2 linked regions of the Zea mays genome follow. The protein of the gene in region 2 binds, or shares a complex with, the protein of the main gene of each other region. Links are inferred from orthologs where the notes say so. Each region holds a gene or a part of one and is shown on either strand. Other genes may lie near its edges. The genes, in order: Protein TIC 20-v, chloroplastic; Protein TIC 55, chloroplastic-like.

Region 1 (8,085 bases), about 9.1 Mb from region 2:
GGCCGGACATGTCATATATATACTACTTCGCCGACAGGCACGTAGTAGCCCCGCGTGCTGCTAGACACGCTCCGCCAGCCCTTCACATAATCACAGCTGACATGCTTGCTTGCTGTTATATATGTTGTACCAGTATAAATAAATAAAGTTTCGAAGGTGCTCTAAATTTCAAAAAGATAAAAAAAAACACAATCAGACAGTCTGACAGACATGCAGGCTTACCTCTTGGCCATCTTCGATCTCATCCCCCGTGGCCGTGGCCTGCTGGCTCCCTCCGCCTGAGAGAGAGGCTGAGACTATAATAAGGTCAGCGGAGCCGATCGGCAGCCGAACTCGCTGCACATTCCGCCGGGCGTGTCGGTACTACTAGCTAGCAGGCAGCAAGATCCGCCAGGCAGCGCAGCAGGCTTGGCAGGCAGGACGCAGGAGCGAGAGATCTCTCGGTTCCCCTGCCCGCGTGCCAAAATGCAGCTCTTCCAAGGTACGTACTATACTGGAATAGATGTTTTCGTTCCTTCGCCTCTCTGTCGCCGGCGCTAAGCTGGCGGCCTCCACCTCCGTCCACCCTCTCTTCCGCTGGATTTGTGACGTGCCCGCGATCCGCAGGAGAGAAGCCGGCCCACGATTTCCTCTCGCTCCACACCGGAGGAGGCCCGTCGTCGCCCGTGCAGCAGCAGCATCCCGCCCAAGGTATGCGAGCCCTCTCGGTTCATAATTCGGCCGGAAATGCGACCTGCGTCCCCCCCACTCGGAGAACCTAGGCTAGCTACTAGGTAGGGCCTCGCGACTTACATAGTACAGCGTAACAACCCAGGCCATTTGGTTGCGGTCGCAGGATACGAATCGGGGGCGCACAGTTCGCTGAAGCCCATGAAACTGGACAGGCGGCGGCGCGGCGGCGGCGGCGGCGGAGCGATCGACATGGCACCGTCGTCGGGCTTGGAGTCGGACTCCGAGGAGCACGTCTTGCCGGGCGGCGTCGGGACGTTCAGCATCAGGCAGGTGGCATCTGCGACTCGATCGAGGGGAGAAGCCGCCGGCCATGGCGTCGTCAGCGGCGCCTTTCCACCTGCCGTTCATGTGTCCAGAACGGAGGAGGGCCCGCCGCATGGAGCAGAATCGGGAGCCAGGGCTCACAGCGGCCCGCTCGCGATGTGGCAAGATTCTGGCGTCGACCAAAGATCCAGAGGTGAAAATTTATATATACATACGCTGTCGTTTTTTCTTCTCTCGGGTCGGTTCCAGAATTCAGGACCCTCTTTTATTACACTGCCCTGCTGCATGTTCAGGCGCGAGAGGAGGGGAGGGGAGAAGCAGCGGCAGCAGCGCCGATCAGGGGCCCAGCACACCGAGATCCAAGCATTCCGCTACCGAGCAGCGGAGACGGACAAAGATAAACGACAGGCAATGCTCGTTGAGTCCAATTTCAATTTTCATCAATTGCATCTAGCAGATCAGAAACTAAAAAAAAAGATTTACCCAGAACGTAGGGAAGCTGAGTGAGCCAGCTGTCTGCTCAACATGTTGGAATTACATCACGGCATGAACTTGTCATCAACACGCAAATCTTGAATTCTACTTCTGTTGCCGAACAGCAGCAGATAGATACATGAGATGCGATATATATGGGAGATGCATTTTAACGAGTATGTGTGTATATGCCTCTGGTTTAGGTTGGAAATACTTCGGGAACTCCTGCCGCACGGTGACCAGAAGAGGGACAAGGCATCTTTCCTTCTTGAGGTAAATAGATCGCCAACCTTTCTACAACAGCCAGCCGCCGGTAACCAGAGATCTCATAATGCTGCACTTAGAGCATCTCCAACAAGGTCTAAAATAAAGCTCTAAAAGTTAAAAATATAATCATATTTAAAATGTTTAGGACCTCAATAAAACATTTTACTCCAACAGTTAGGCTTTAAATAATGCTATTTAGAAAATAAATCACGTTATTAGAAAATAAATAGTTGTAGATTAAGAGGAAAGAAGGTTAGGGTTCTAACATATGGGGTACTATATTTAGGGTCCGAGAGACCGAACTCTATAATCGTTTGATGATTTTTTATAAAATAGGACTAAATGTTTTATGATTTTTTTTTTGCGAAAGAGCCTCTAGCTGAGTTGGTTAGGTGGTCTGAGTAGCACTCCTCAGGTCCTAGGTTCGACTCCCCGTGGGAGCGAATTTTAGGCTGTGGTTAAAAAAATCCACTCGTCTGTCCCACGACAAAGCACAGGTCTAAGGCTCAGCCCCGGTCGTGGTCGTTCTCACATGGGCTTCGATGCCGCAGGTCAAGTTTTTTTTGTTTTATGATTTTTTGAGCCCTATATTTTAAAATACAATTTCTTATTTAGGGCTCCTCTTGAGATGCTCTTATAACATTGAAATGCCCCCTTTGGTCCCAGTTTTGGGTGCAATATCCTCCATGTTGCTTGTTCAATGATACGCAAACACATAACACGAACCAGAACGAAAATATAATACTAAAAAATATTTCAATGTAACATGATCTCAGCAACTGGGGAGACCGGAATCCTGATCAGCACGTTACAGCAAGTATTTTAGCATGTGGAACATTTTGCTCGCAGGTTATTGAATACATAAGGTTCTTGCAAGAGAAGGTCCAAAAGTACGAGTCAGCCCAACCAGAAAAGAATCACGAGGACTCCTCCATGCCATGGGTACTAACATAGCCACGTTATCACGTTCATCGCAGTACTGCACAATAATCATGCACATATTTTACTATATAACACAAAAAAAAGGGCTGCATTTGGATTTTAACTCACTTGTCCACTATTTTTTCCCCTTGCTAGGCAAAAGTTTACTACAGATCATGCTGGAAAAACACAGAGGTAATTCCACACGCGCGTGCACACACACATACCAAAGAAAAAAGGAATGCCACATGGAAGCATGGAGCCCATGATATATCAATGATAACAAATTTCTTTGTTCTTTTTCATGGTCTCGCAGAATATCATCCAAGGAGGAGGATTAGCACCTTCCACGAAAGATGAGAACAAAGAACAGTATGATTCCAAGCAAACTACGGTGGCATCGTCTGCTCTCTTTGACACACAAAGTGCTAGAGAAACTAGTGCAAACGATATTTCCTCCCAAAAGGCAACAAGCAAAGCAAAATGCAGGGCAGGTAAGTTCCCAATTTCCTTCTTTCGTTGCATTACCACCTTTCAATTGCTAAGATCATGGCAAGAAATTGATTTACTAAGGCTAATAGCTTTAAAATGCAGACAACAGCGTACCTGGCAAACAGCCACCATGGTTGAGCATGTCAACCTCTGATGCAGACAACAAAACACTGAGCAAGAACGAGAAACAAACTCTCCAAGAGGATACTCAAAGTCTTTCTGATGCTTACTCTCAAGGGTTTGTTCCGAAACTACTGTTGTTTATGATGGTAATTTTGCTATATCTGCAACTAACAAGAGAAAACATTATTTACATCAGGCTTCTAAATAGATTGACACAAGCTCTAAAAAGGTCGGGAGTAGACCCATCTCAAGCTAGTATATCTGTAGAGATCAGTATGGACAGAAGAGCAACAGAACCTAATAATATACATGACAATTTGAAGGTAATAACAGCACATGAAAGTATATCAGCACGTTAATGCTTGCAAAGTTGCTAGACTTATGTCATGGCTTATTCACAGAATCAGCCATTTCTTTACCACTTCTTTTTAACCTTACCTGACAGGATCATGAATGTGAAGATATTATACATGTGACCAAGAAGCTTCGGGGCGAGAGAAGCAAGATCTCCAGCTCAAACTGAAATTCAAACTGTGGCGACAAGCCGACAACAGACCAGGACTTTGTCGACGAAATTGACAATTGATGGAATGCTCTTATTTATATTGAAATCACAATTACTGACCTAAGCCTCCATTCAGGTACAAAGGAAGCTGCTCAGGGGAGGGTAGTCATAAAGCTCCCCAATTCAGACATTCCTCCTCATTTGTAAATGCAATTCAGATTGTAAAACAGTGTACATGTACTGCTCTCTCAAAATTTGTCAATTCAACAAATATGGTAGTATTGCAACGTTTTTGTATCAACCTTCCACAGTACATGCATTCAATCGGCAACTAGACCTATATAAACAGCAAGGCAATTGTAAATTATACTAAGCTTGTGATTTGCTGCAAGCGCCAACGAACCATTGGGATGTTTTCTGCATATCATCAGATTCCCTTTCCATCAACATGGTCCGCAGGAAACGAATTGTAGTCACATCACCTGGCGCTCCGCTGCATCTGCGACAATGGGCAGACGTGGTGTCTTCCCGAGCAGGCAGGCGCCACCGCCGTACACCAAGGAGACGAGCAGGAAGAGGAAGACCGTGCTCTCCATGCTCTGGAAGATCTCGAACCCAACCCCACCGGAGGGCGCGAACGACTGCGCGAGCAGGTCGGGAAAGATGAGCAGCACGTCGAGCACGACGGCCTGCATCGCGTTGAAGCGGACGAAGCGGGAGAACGCCTGCTGGTTCCGCACAACGGCGAAGTAGAGCGTGAGGAAGAGGAGGAAGGGCGTGAGCGGCGATGAGTGGAAGAGCCGAGCCGCGGGGGCCAGCGGGCGGAGCAGCGCGCCGAAGAAGGGGAACTGCGTGAGAAGGAAGCGCCCGTGGTGCGCGCCGTCGAGGAACGGGTATAGGTAGGCGACCGCGGCCACGAGGCGGTCGGGCGCCTCCACGGCCCCGCTGTTGTCGTTTTTGTTGGAGGCGCGCGGCGCGGGGGCCAGGAGCCGACGAGGGGTCGCGTTGTTGGGGGCGGCGAGGAGGACCCGCCGGTGCGGGATGCTGAGGAGGCGGGATGTGCCGTCGCGGTGGAGCAGGCGCGGGGGCGAGAGGAGAAGCGAAACGGCGGATGCCATGTGATCCTCTGCTCGGTGCGGTCGAGGAGTGGAGATTTTTTGGGTGAGTGGCCTTGTGGGGGGCGGCCAAAGCGAGGCGTTTGGGTGAGGGGTTGAGGGCAAGGCAGTGGCGCCGCGCGGCTGCTGGCTGCTTGCCCCCTCCGCGCGGGTGGGAGCCTGGGAGCGGAGATTTTTGTGGAGCTCCGGGGGATGTGGGTAGCCGAGTGGGAGACGAGGAGATTGGTTGGTGGTGCCTGCTTCTGCCTGCCTGCCTGCTTGGTGCAGTGCCAGTGCGGGCCGTGCTGCTGCGGCGTCGCGGGGGAGGAAGGACGGGCGCGTGGGCGACGCGCGGTGAGCCTCACGTGGGCCGCCATGCCGGCCGGCATGCGCTCGCGCCTTGCAGCGTGGCCCGCTGTGGCCCGCCACGGAAAAAATTGGGATTCATCGTTTTGAGAGGATTCGTCTGAATATCATTATAAAACATGTCATCCACGTTATGATATCATTTGATCGTTTAATAAATCGGAAAAGAAATATATATATTATATATATAGCGACATTGAGGGTCAATTTTATAGGGAGACGAACATCAGCGACCAAAGTGAATGCACGAACAACAACAGAGGCAAATCATCCCTCAATGTCTATAATATATTTATTATTTTCATTTTTTAAACAATCAAATGATATTATAGCATATGCGGCATGTTTCATAATAGCAAAGTAGTGATGCCTCTCAAAACGATTTCCACTCCGGGAGAGCTGACCCGGGCGGAATAACCACTCCTACATTTTCCTCATAAAAAAGGACACTCAGTCTATTTGGTTCACGGCTAACTATGTCACAATTTATTTAATATTAATCGTTTGAATTGAAGAACTAAGCTTAGACATAAAAAATAGATAAAACGGTTAACTATGTCATAATTTGTTTAATGTTAATTATTTGAATCGAAGAACTAAGCTTAGACATAAAAAATAGATAAAATATGGTAAGTTGGACAGCAAATCAAACCGCCGTCAAACTTCCACCCTATTTCTTTGCATAACTGCGGCGTCAAAATACTCAGCAAGATACTCACCACCAGGTTACAACGACAGATTGACAGGATCATCGACACTGACCAAATCGGGTTCATTCGAGGCAGATCGATCACAGAGAGCTTCATCTACACTTTTGAACTTGTTCAGACCTGCCACAAAAGGAAAACACCACACCAGTCCTAGTGATCAAATTATACTTTGCCAAGGCTTCGACACCGTGAATTGGGAAGCTCTCTGAAGGACCATGGCAGAGAGAGGCTTCCCTGACCGATGGAGATCCTGGATCGCCGAGATCCTCTCCACCTCAAGCTCTGGAAATCTCCTCCACGGTTGCCTACTTGCCTCGACCCATGGTTCCCATGCAAGAAAGGCCTGAGGCAGAGCGACCCGATCTCACCACTCACCTTACCAGTTCCTGCCAGTGGAAGATGTCCTTCAGGTTCTCATCAAGAAAAACGGGGAAGTCCGCCACCCACTGTCAAATGACAAAACCGGGGGCCGGTAATCCAATATGCAAATATGATACACTCATTGCCACATATGCTTCCCTCTCTAGTGTCACCTAGCTCCGGATGATCCTTGACACTTTTGCCCAAGCAACAGGTCTTTGCATCAACTACGATGAGAGCACCCTTGTTCCCATTCATGTTGACCCACAACATCAAGCCGGTCAATTCACCTCGATCCTGCAGTGCGGTGCCAAGTTGGAAGGCTTCCCCCAAACTTACTTTGGCCTCCCTCTGTCAAGAGCAAACTAGGATAGCATGCAGAAACTCCTCCCGCGTGATCACCACTATGAGAGAGCATCGGGAATGGTAGGACAACTTGCTTCCGCCTTGATGATTAGATGGATAGTGGTCCGATCACAGACAGCTTCCCCTCCCTTGCAAGCCATGCAACGAATATGGAAACCACTGTCAGGCAAGTGCTGCTTGATGGGCTTGGATCAGCACCTCAAACCACGCCTGAGCACAACCTCAAAGACAGGAGCTTGCCACCCTCCAGAACACCCTCCACGACATCTCTCTCACACAACAAAATGATAAAAGACTAAGCCCACTGATTGACATAGAAGGGATCCTAAAAACCGGTATGCTCTACAAGCTGATCAATCAATGACTACCTCCAACTTTGATAATCCAGACTTCGTGTGAAGCTCTTTCTCTCCTAAAGTTTAAGTTCTTTGTGTGGATCCTCATATAAGGAAAGGTTAACCACAAAAAGAACCTTGTCAAGAAAGGGATGATTACCAGCGTCGTGTGTGACCTTGGCTCTGTCAGGCAGATGAAGATTACGACCACATTATCTTCAAGTGTCTGATTGCTTCCTCCTTCTGGCACAACATATATAGGAGTGCACAACATCGACAACCTAACGACGTCCAAGCCATGGGAAGTCATCCCCCTCCCCCCGATCACCAATCACACTAGAATACCTTCATACACCTTTATTGTTGGATGCTCTGGAAAAACCGGCATCCCCTTCCTGTCCTAGCAAGCATGTGCGTGAAGAAGGAGACACAGACATAGGGGATGACATCTGGAACCTATATTAGGGGCAATAATGACAATTTTTTTGAGCTAAGGGTATCCTTCTAGCCAAACATCTCCTCCGCTCCACGTGAAGGTTGCTCCAGCTTAAGTTGTCAAGTGGAGCAGAAATTTGTGGAAAAGCTAGAGCTCATAGCGAAATCTAGATGGTAGAGTTGTCACTACGGATGTCACCCCAGCGACGCGGGGACCTCGATATTCATCACTGCTGACGGTGTCCTTGTTAGCACACCGATCACAGGCGGATTGGAGAAGAGAAAGAGGTAGGCGAGAGAGATAGCTTGGGTTGGGAATGAGACAACAGAGAGCTCCGTTGTATTCAGTTTCTCCGTAATTTCATCCCCCTGCCCAAAGCAGCTATCGTACTTATACTACGACATATGTTCCACGGACCAGTGACTCAGGGACGCAGCCCCACATACCAGAGACTCATTCATCTTTCCTAACATTCCCCTCTTCTTAAAATTCGGCTTGCCCTCAAGCCGATGTGTAGCATTACTTCCACCAGGATCCCAGGAAAATTGCAAGCACTGACCAAAAGTAACAGGAACTTGTGCTGTGTTGTTTGCCGCTGCAGCCTCCTCATCCATGGCATGTGTAACTCGTGCTGTCTCTC
Region 2 (8,692 bases):
TCCACACGTAATCGTAATGATACTCAGATTTTCCTCACAGCCAGATTCTCCCCACAACCAGATTTTCAGAAAAGCTGGTCAGAAAAAAGCTGAACCAAACAGGCCCGATATTTGTCATGTCATTCAAACCGCAAAGTTTAAGTTTTTGTTTTTTTTCATTATCTAGGTCCTGTTTAAAATCAACTCATTTTTTACGAAATCATTTTTTTAGCTAGAAAAGACTAGTTTTTTTGTTTTCAAAAACCATGAATCCAATTTTTATAAACTGGGACATAAACTGATATGTTTAAAACTATCTCGGTTTCCATAAACCAATTTCTTAAAAGGTGGTTCCAAACAGGTCCTTACTTAGGTTTGGTCGTTCGGACATGAGAATTAACAAACAATAAAAGTATATAGTGTACGGAAAATGAGAAAACAAGAAGAAGAGAGAGAGAGATACATGCGTAAAGAAAGAAAATCATACTAAAATAAAATACATATGCTAAAAAACTAGCTAACTAATAATTGATAGGTAATTGTTAATTAATTTAGAACTGATTTAGTGATCAGTGAAATTAAGGGGATCCATGAGCCCCTATAGATTCTTTTTGTTTCTCTGGTCACCAAACCAGCCCCTTAGTGTTTTAGGATACAATATCTAGATGTGCCATTGATGTTCTTGACTAATACTCTCTGTTTAACTCGCTAATGGTAGGACACATGGATATATAAAGATAAGTGGAATAATAAAAGTATTTTTCGCAATACATTAGTTGATTCGATATAGAGAGGGAACACTAGTGCACTACTCGCTTTGTCCAAATTTATAGGTCCCTTTGGCTTTTCTTTGCTTATTTTATTGGTCGTTTGGCTTTTTACGATACATATATTTCTATTTTGTAGCTCAGTATATCGTATATCTAGGTATATAACAACAACTATGTACCTAGTGAGTTGTAGACGTCGTACGACACCACAGATAAAAATTATGGGCAGAGCGAGGGGCGTAGGGTAGAGCCACACCGATTTTAGGTGCATCCTGATTAGTAGCACATTGACATTGTATAAAGGTTCAGGTCGCAAGATACGTAATGTGAACGCTCTCTTTAACTTTAGTAGCTCAATGAACATAGAGGTGAATAAGATTACAAAATTAGATATCAAATAAGTCTCATAACCTCTTAACTCTTCTCATTGGTTTTGGTGAGAATTCTAGGCTAATGGTCTCTAGTTTACCTCTATGTCTCTATGCGTGCCCTCTAGCACCTTTGAATGAGTCATAGCTGTTCTAACTGAATTGAACCCGAATGAATCAACCGGATCATTCCATCTCCCTTCCATGTTTCTATACTCCTCCATTTATATGCCTACTGGGTTATGACCTAGTTCAATACAGGTCAACAACAATTATCTCATCGTAGTCATGGAGTACTAAATGGTTGCATGCCTTGATCGTGCCACGATGCTGAGGATGTCATATTGCGGTTATAGATAAGTCGTATCATAGAGGTAGTTATGACTTGTCATAGCGATGGGTATCAGAGTCCATGTTGTTGGGTATGATGTAGTTGGTAACAGATGTAGCAGTCTATATTTTTTAATGCTTGCTGGTACACTAACATATGGAGACATGTCTACAAGAATGATGGCATATATCAAATAGTGGTCTTAAGTATGCCCGATGTCTACGTCATGTACCGAATAGTGGTCTTGAGTATGTCTAGTGTCTATCTCGTGGGAATAGTGCGCATACTTTACTACAATATCAACCAACACATTTAATGTGGTGAACGAGATACCTTTCCAAACCATTAGTAACACAAGTCGTTTGGAGTAGACTTTAACATAGTACGAGTGTTATACCTTTGAGGACTTCCCTACTCTAAGGATAGGCTGCCATATTCTTTGTTCTGTAGGTGCTCCCATACAACTGAGTCGGAGCATTATTTTTCATATGAAGGACCCTAGGACCTGGCTATTAGTCATAACTCTAAGGTCGAGGTCATGAAATATTTAGGGAGGCCTCTATGGGGCCTAGGTGAGCGAGAGAACTCTAGAAGCTTGGGAATGCCTCAAAGTATAGAAAGATCCTGAGGCCTTAGGGGCCCTGGTCATGCCAATTATGATGGACGGGAGTGGCTAGGACAACCTCACGGGTTCAGGGGCTCAAGATGAGGTCCATTAGGGTGGGTCTCTAGGGGCACATGTCTGGAGTTAGTCAGGCTCTCGATTACTTTTATCGAGATCCTTAGAAGGCATCTTCATCTAGAGTGTGACCTTCCCCATGCGCTAATAGAGGTCCCCAAGTCAACCATAGACCTATGAGGCTTGCTGGTGGGCCCAAATTTCTCGTAATACACTTGAGAAAAGAAGACTTATTATCTGTTAGAGAACTACTACATAGTTCAATGATGGCAAGCACCCAATACCTGGTGCACTAAGTGTCGTCATGGTACAACATTACAGTACCATAAGCAACCAAAAGACACGAAGAAAGTTTATGGACAGAGCAAGGAGCATAATCTATAGGCGCATTGATCCTAGGTGTAGCACATAGTCATTTTATAAAGGGCTAGGCCACAAGATGATACCATATGTCCTCTTTAAGTACGATGGTTTGACGAACACATAGGTGAAGAAGAATACAAGCTCAGATATCAACTAAGCGTCATGATCTTCTAGCTCTCCCTTACTATTCGGTTCTCATGAGTTCTAGGCTAGTGGTCCCTAGTTCACCTCTATGTATGACCTCCAACAACGTGCTCTAATTTTTGCCATCTAAAAGAATATTCTCTATCCTTTAGAACACACTCTAGAAAATTTCATCCTCTATATCTTTATCATCTCCAACAACATCCTCTAAATTTCATTCTCTGCAACATTGTCTTTCTTCTCCGACACCCCACCTCCACCGTTGTACTCCATCCATCCACCCAGTATCTCCCATGCCCCTAGATGCGGGTTGAGAAGCACTCCACACGGAGCGCCGTGTCCAGGATCACCTATCTCATCTCCGGCAACACAGAGGATGGACTTGTGCTGCGCCGAGGTGGGGGAGAAGCATAGCAACAAACAAGGGAGGAGTGCGAAGAGAGAAAGATCGAGTTACAGGTCCTATGCGCCTACGTCATCCAAGGTCGTGTTTGTTGCACATCCGGTCGCCGTGCGCCTCGTCGTCCTCTTCTACCGTGGATGCAAGTTGGGAGGTGCTGGCTGATGTGCTACTTTGTCGCGGCGTGCACAGCCGACCTGTAGTCTCTCTACACAAGACGGTGCACATAGCCGACACAACGGAACACTCTACATCTGTTGTGCGCGTTAGTGGTCCGCTACTTTAGCGGGTCCTTTAGCGGACCTTGAGAACGAAAAGCAGATTGCGCACGTTAAATTTAGCGTACAGGAGCATTTACAGAGTCTTGCTCTCGAGAGTCTTGTACGTTTAAATTGACAAGCTAATTTTACGCAAATAAATAACAATTTGGATAGATCCAAACGAGATATTATTATAGCTGACCAGTGTAAGCTAGTTCATGCACACGCAAAAAAATCTCGCGATATACTAGTCCGTCAATCGGTCACACTTGGACGAGAGTGACACACGAGAGATCACGGCAAGTGTGGGAGTCTGGAACCGGGACGCTATAGTAGTAGACTAGGTGGCAGAAAGCTGGAGCCGCCATCTGCCGTGTGCGTTGCACACTTGCGCTCGTAGTCGTAGGTGACTCGTAAGGTTTTTATCCGGTGAGGCCGCAGAGATCGAGCGCTCTCGGCCAACCAAACGTCGTGGGACCGAACATGACAACGCCCTCTACCGCACCAGCGCCACTGGCATCTCTCCTCCGCGTCTCCGCTGCCGCTGTTCCAGTGGCTCGACGACGTCCTAAGAGCCCCGCGGCTGCGGCGGCGGCACGGTGGGAGGGAGGTGGGGGCAGAAGGAGGTGCCGGGCGGCGGTGGTGGAGGAAGCCGGGGTGCTGCTGCCCAAGGAGGGGGAGGGGGAGGGGGAGGGGGAGGAGGCCCCGGACGCGGCGGCGGGGCGCTACGACTGGAGGGAGGAGTGGTACCCGCTGTACCTGGCCAAGGAGGTGCCCGACGACGCGGCGCTCCCGCTCACCGTCTTCGACCGCCAGCTCGTGCTCTGGCGCGACGCCCACGGCGTGCTCCGCTGCCACGAGGACCGGTGCCCTCACAGGTGAGATCCTCCGGCCGGTCCACTCTTGTGTGCGTGCAACGATTGGTTTGGTCGAGAACCAGCAGCTGAAACACGATTAATTGCTCCCAAAATGCTTACCGATCGATCAGGTTAGCGAAGCTATCGGAAGGGCAGATCGTGGACGGCAAGCTGGAGTGCCTCTACCATGGCTGGCAGTTCGACGGCGACGGCAAGTGCGTCAAGATACCACAGGTCTCTCTCTCTCCCACCTTTCTTACTGACGCCCCTACCCTACGCGGCGAGAGCATGGATGGGTGATGTGATGGGTCCGTGCCTGCACTGCAGCTGCCCGAGGGCGCCAAGATCCCGCGCAGCGCGTGCGCGCGCAACTACGAGGTGCGCGACTCGCAGGGCGTGGTGTGGGTGTGGATGTCGGACGCCAACCCTCCCGACGAAGGGAAGCTGCCGTGGTTCGAGCCGTACGCGCGGGCGGGGTTCACGGACCTGTCGACGGTGCACGAGCTCCCCTACGACCACTCCATCCTGCTGGAGAACCTCATGGACCCCGCGCACGTGCCCATCTCCCACGACCGCACCGACTGGACGGCCAAGCGCGAGGACGCGCAGCCGCTCTTCTTCGACGTCACCGAGCGCACGCCCCGCGGCTTCGCGGGCTACTGGGGCCGCACCGGCACGCCGCACCTCCGCAACCTTCTGCGCTTCGAGGCCCCCTGCGTGCTCACCAACACGCTAGAGTTCGCCGACAAGGACGGCAGGGAGCAGTGCTTCTCCGCGCACTTCCTCTGCCGCCCCGCCGGGCAGGGCAAGTCCATGCTCCTCGTGCGCTTCGGCTCCACCCTCAGGTCGCCGCTCGCCAAGGTGCTCCCGTCCTGGTACTTCCACCAGAACGCGTGCAAGGTGTTCGAGCAGGACATGGGGTTCCTGTCGTCGCAGAACGAGGTGCTGCTCCGGGAGAAGCTGCCCACCAGGGAGCTCTACCTCAACCTCCGCTCCTCCGACACCTGGGTCGCCGAGTACAGGAAGTGGATGGACAGGGCGGGCCACGGCATGCCCTACTACTTCGGCCACAGCACCCTGTCGCCGCCGCCCGTGCCGGCCGTCGTGGAGCAGGCGCCCGCAGGGGCCGTCGCGGGGATCTCGGCCTCGTTCCCGGCCAAGGGCGGCGTCGGCATGGTGCACGCGCCCAACCCGACCAACAGGTACTTCCGCCACGTCGTGCACTGCAAGGGTTGCAGGGCAACCGTCAAAAAGTACACCTCGTTGAAGACCGTGTTCGCGGCCCTCGCGGCGGCGGCCCTATCGGCCGCCATCCTGGCGGCGACGAGACAGTGGAAGGCCGTCTTGGTGGCGGCGTCGGCCGTGCTAGCCGCCGCATCCTATGCGTGTGACGCGGTGCTTTCTTTGATCACCACCAACTTCATCAGGACACACAGGAGACTGTAATTAATGTGGTACTGGCCACTGTATATTTAGGTAATGGCCGGCGGGGAACGTTCTGTACATTTGTATCACCGTAGCTGCTGGCCTGCGGCTGTTGTATTTTGTATATTTGCAGTAACGTTTTGCATGTCAGCAGCAACTGATTAGGTTGGTTACCTTACCGGTTAGTTTTTTTACTACTGCAGCACAAACTCAGAATTAGAAGATAATCAACATAGCAAAAGATTTAAGTCCGCAGACACAGCCACCAAGCAATCGATACACAACACGCTCGCACGAAGCATTCTTAAAATTCTCCAGTATATACACAATACAAGCAGCACACGTTCACTGTTAAGATAGTGGCACAATGCCTAAAGTCACATGTTATTAAGTAGACAAACTTGATAACAGTGGGCAAACACCGACTCGGAGCATGTTTTAAAGGCAACATACTTGATAGGATATATTAGCTACCACAGTAGACACGTTTGATGCTCCAGGCTTACCGTGGTTGAACTTAGAATTCCCTGTCGGGAAAGAGGACGGGTGCAACAAGCGACCATATGAACAGACCTGCCGTCGCCCACTGGGTTGCAATCCTGACCCAGACAGATGGCCACCCAACATCCACAAGCTTTCCGCTCTCACCAACCGAAGTTGACCAGCCAGTCAAGAGCATTGCCGAGTACATGCTGGCCAGGGAGAAGATGAGGTGAAAGAAAGAGTAGGAGTATGTCACCGGCCTCGGCACATCCTTCTTATCTTCTTGTTCGTCTGCCTTGCTGAAGGGAAGCAATGGCTTGTCGGTCCCTGGAAGGTAAAAGGGAAAAAGGTATCATAATTAACGATGCAAACCCAATATTTGCAAAACTAGCTCATTAGCCACAGAACGCAATCTAACCACGTGGTGAGTCTGGTGGCGAGAGCACAGTTGCAGAGGAGCCAGCGCGGACAGCAGAATAGACCACAGAGAGGACCGTGGTAAGGAGTCCCAATGTAAGGCTACCAGTTGACACAGCTTTTGAGTGATTGTGAAGCCCATTGCATTCGTAATCCCTTGGCTCACTGGAGAGTCCACTGTAGCACAGATATGTACAGTACATACCAATAACTGATGCAGGCAACAAGCTTCCATTGATCTGAAAATCAGAAACTTCAAAGTTCAGCATTATTTAGCACAAAAAAGATAGTTACATTCAAGGGAAATGTATAGACATAGTTTTTGGAAAGCATGGTCATACGATGGCCAAGATGGAATCTAAAACAATCAAACCAACCCAATAATCTAGAGTTGCAAGTATAATACTGCCCCAAACCCCAAACCCATCCAGTATAACTTATCAAGCAACGGTTTCTGGTCAAATCAAGTAATATAAACAAATGCAAAATCAGTAAAACGGAGAAAAACAGGCTACATGATGGTACCTTTGGGTGCAGGGCAACAATAGCAAACGCAAAAACAAGAATCAACGTGAAGACAATGAAAAACAGGTTGAGTCCGCAGTCATGTCCAGATGGAGTGAACCAGTGAAATAGGAGACCCGAGAAACAGAACGTGGCAATGTAACAGACAACCGAGACAACCAACAGAGCCATGTACCTGCAGCGACAAAAGAGCATAAATAATACAAAAAAAAACACCAATGGGAGCCCAAGCAAGTATAGGAAATAGCATCAGCAAGCAACCAACCAGAACTGCTCATCCTTGGCGACCCAGTTCTCATTCCATCCGTGCACAAAATCCAACAGCAGAACAACCTGAACGAGAAGGAACAGCCCAGAGCCAAACTTGGATATAGATTCTGCAGAAGTAGAATTGTAGTAAGAATTCCAAACACAGCTGACACACAAATGACGGGATACATAACAAAGTACATGAATGACCAACAACAGCAAAGCAGTAACTAATTACTAAATGTTCAGGGAACTCGACAAATGTAGTAAGTCTACAAGTAAAAACAGCTGACTACCAATTGGGTTTATCCATTGCACACGCCCAGTAAGTCTACAAGTCGAGAATTGCATAAATTCTGAATCAGAAATCTCCTTAATTTTCTTATGAGCCTCACGGAACTCAAAAAAAACTTCATGAAAGGGGTTGTTTGTTTCTCAAAAAAGATTAGTGCCATCATGATATGTCAAGTATCTATCAACTATGCGTTCAAATAAAAAGGTTTCTATTTGTGATCGCAATATGAATCAAATGGTCTGACAAATAGAAGGAAAGGGAGTTAGCTCACCATAGAAGCTGACGACCCCGTTGGGCACGAAGAACATGAGGAAGACGATGATGACCCAGCAGAAGATCTTGGCCATCCATCCGCCGTGGTGGATCTTGTCACGGGGGTCCTTCTGGTCCTTTATCCCGGCCATGATGACGGCGAGGATGGTGAAGAAGAGGAAGTTGCCGAGGCTGACCCTGAGCACCGCGTCGGTCTCGAACCACTCGCGGTCGGGGGTCTTGTGGAAGTGGTTAATCCCTGCGGAAACAGAGAGAGAGGTCTCGATGAATGTTTCGATGAACTGAACCGACGAATCGAACCGAGGGAAAGTAGGGGGGATTCGGGTCAGCGCCGCGCACATGGGATCGACTGGAGGAGGGGCGCGGCGACCTCGCGGAGCGCCCAGGATGCGAAGAGGGAGAGCGCGAAGAGGCCGCAGTAGGCGATGCGGGCGGAGCGGCGGCCGATGCTGCCGACCGCCGTCCGGCACGCCTCGCACGCGCACGCCGCGCAGCACGACGCCAGGCACGATGCCGCCCACATGGTGGCTGGTGCCCCGGCTCCGCCGATCAGATGGAGTCGACTCGCTAGGAGGATCGAATCCGATGGACGGCGCCGCCGCGGATATGGGGATTTCTAGTAGGGTGGGAGAATTTGGGGAACGCGTGTTGGGAGGGGACGGAGAAAGAGAAGATGGGGAAAGCCGGAAGGAGGGGGTGGAGGTGGATTTGCACGCACGAGACGGGCGGACGGAAAGGGGCGGACGGCGTGCCGGTGGAGTTGGTTGGGTTGGACCGGATAAGGAGACCGAGTCCGCTTGCAGTATCCCACGGCAACATCGACCAGGAAAACCAAATACGAGTGCGGTTTAATGTGTCTGTGAGTTGCGTAGGC

The links.
Region 1: Protein TIC 55, chloroplastic-like (region 2) and Protein TIC 20-v, chloroplastic share a complex: the UniProt entries of both Arabidopsis thaliana proteins name them as parts of the tic complex. The link is inferred for Zea mays from reciprocal best matches to the Arabidopsis thaliana genes TIC55-II and Tic20-V.

What each region holds. Positions count from the first base shown.
Region 1 is NC_050100.1:212,572,135-212,580,219, reverse strand, and holds Protein TIC 20-v, chloroplastic, read right to left. Parts: upstream 5,027-8,085; 5' UTR 4,897-5,026; coding exon 4,252-4,896; 3' UTR 3,860-4,251; downstream 1-3,859. Other genes in the region: uncharacterized protein LOC100279738, read left to right, coding at 466-481, 607-690, 836-1,189, 1,290-1,404, 1,674-1,743, 2,587-2,679, 2,815-2,853, 2,975-3,152 and 3 more; solute carrier family 35 member F2, read right to left, coding at 6,063-6,068, 6,329-6,394, 7,170-7,252, 7,355-7,409, 7,892-8,085. UniProt on the Arabidopsis thaliana protein: May be involved in protein precursor import into chloroplasts. Not redundant with TIC20-I, TIC20-II or TIC20-IV.
Region 2 is NC_050100.1:221,688,879-221,697,570, forward strand, and holds Protein TIC 55, chloroplastic-like, read left to right. Parts: upstream 1-3,776; 5' UTR 3,777-3,777; coding exon 3,778-4,172; intron 4,173-4,282; coding exon 4,283-4,385; intron 4,386-4,478; coding exon 4,479-5,597; 3' UTR 5,598-5,720; downstream 5,721-8,692. Other genes in the region: uncharacterized protein LOC100191588 precursor, read right to left, coding at 6,094-6,386, 6,478-6,715, 7,002-7,176, 7,267-7,378, 7,817-8,056, 8,158-8,341. UniProt on the Arabidopsis thaliana protein: Involved in protein precursor import into chloroplasts. Part of the redox regulon consisting of TIC32, TIC 55 and TIC62.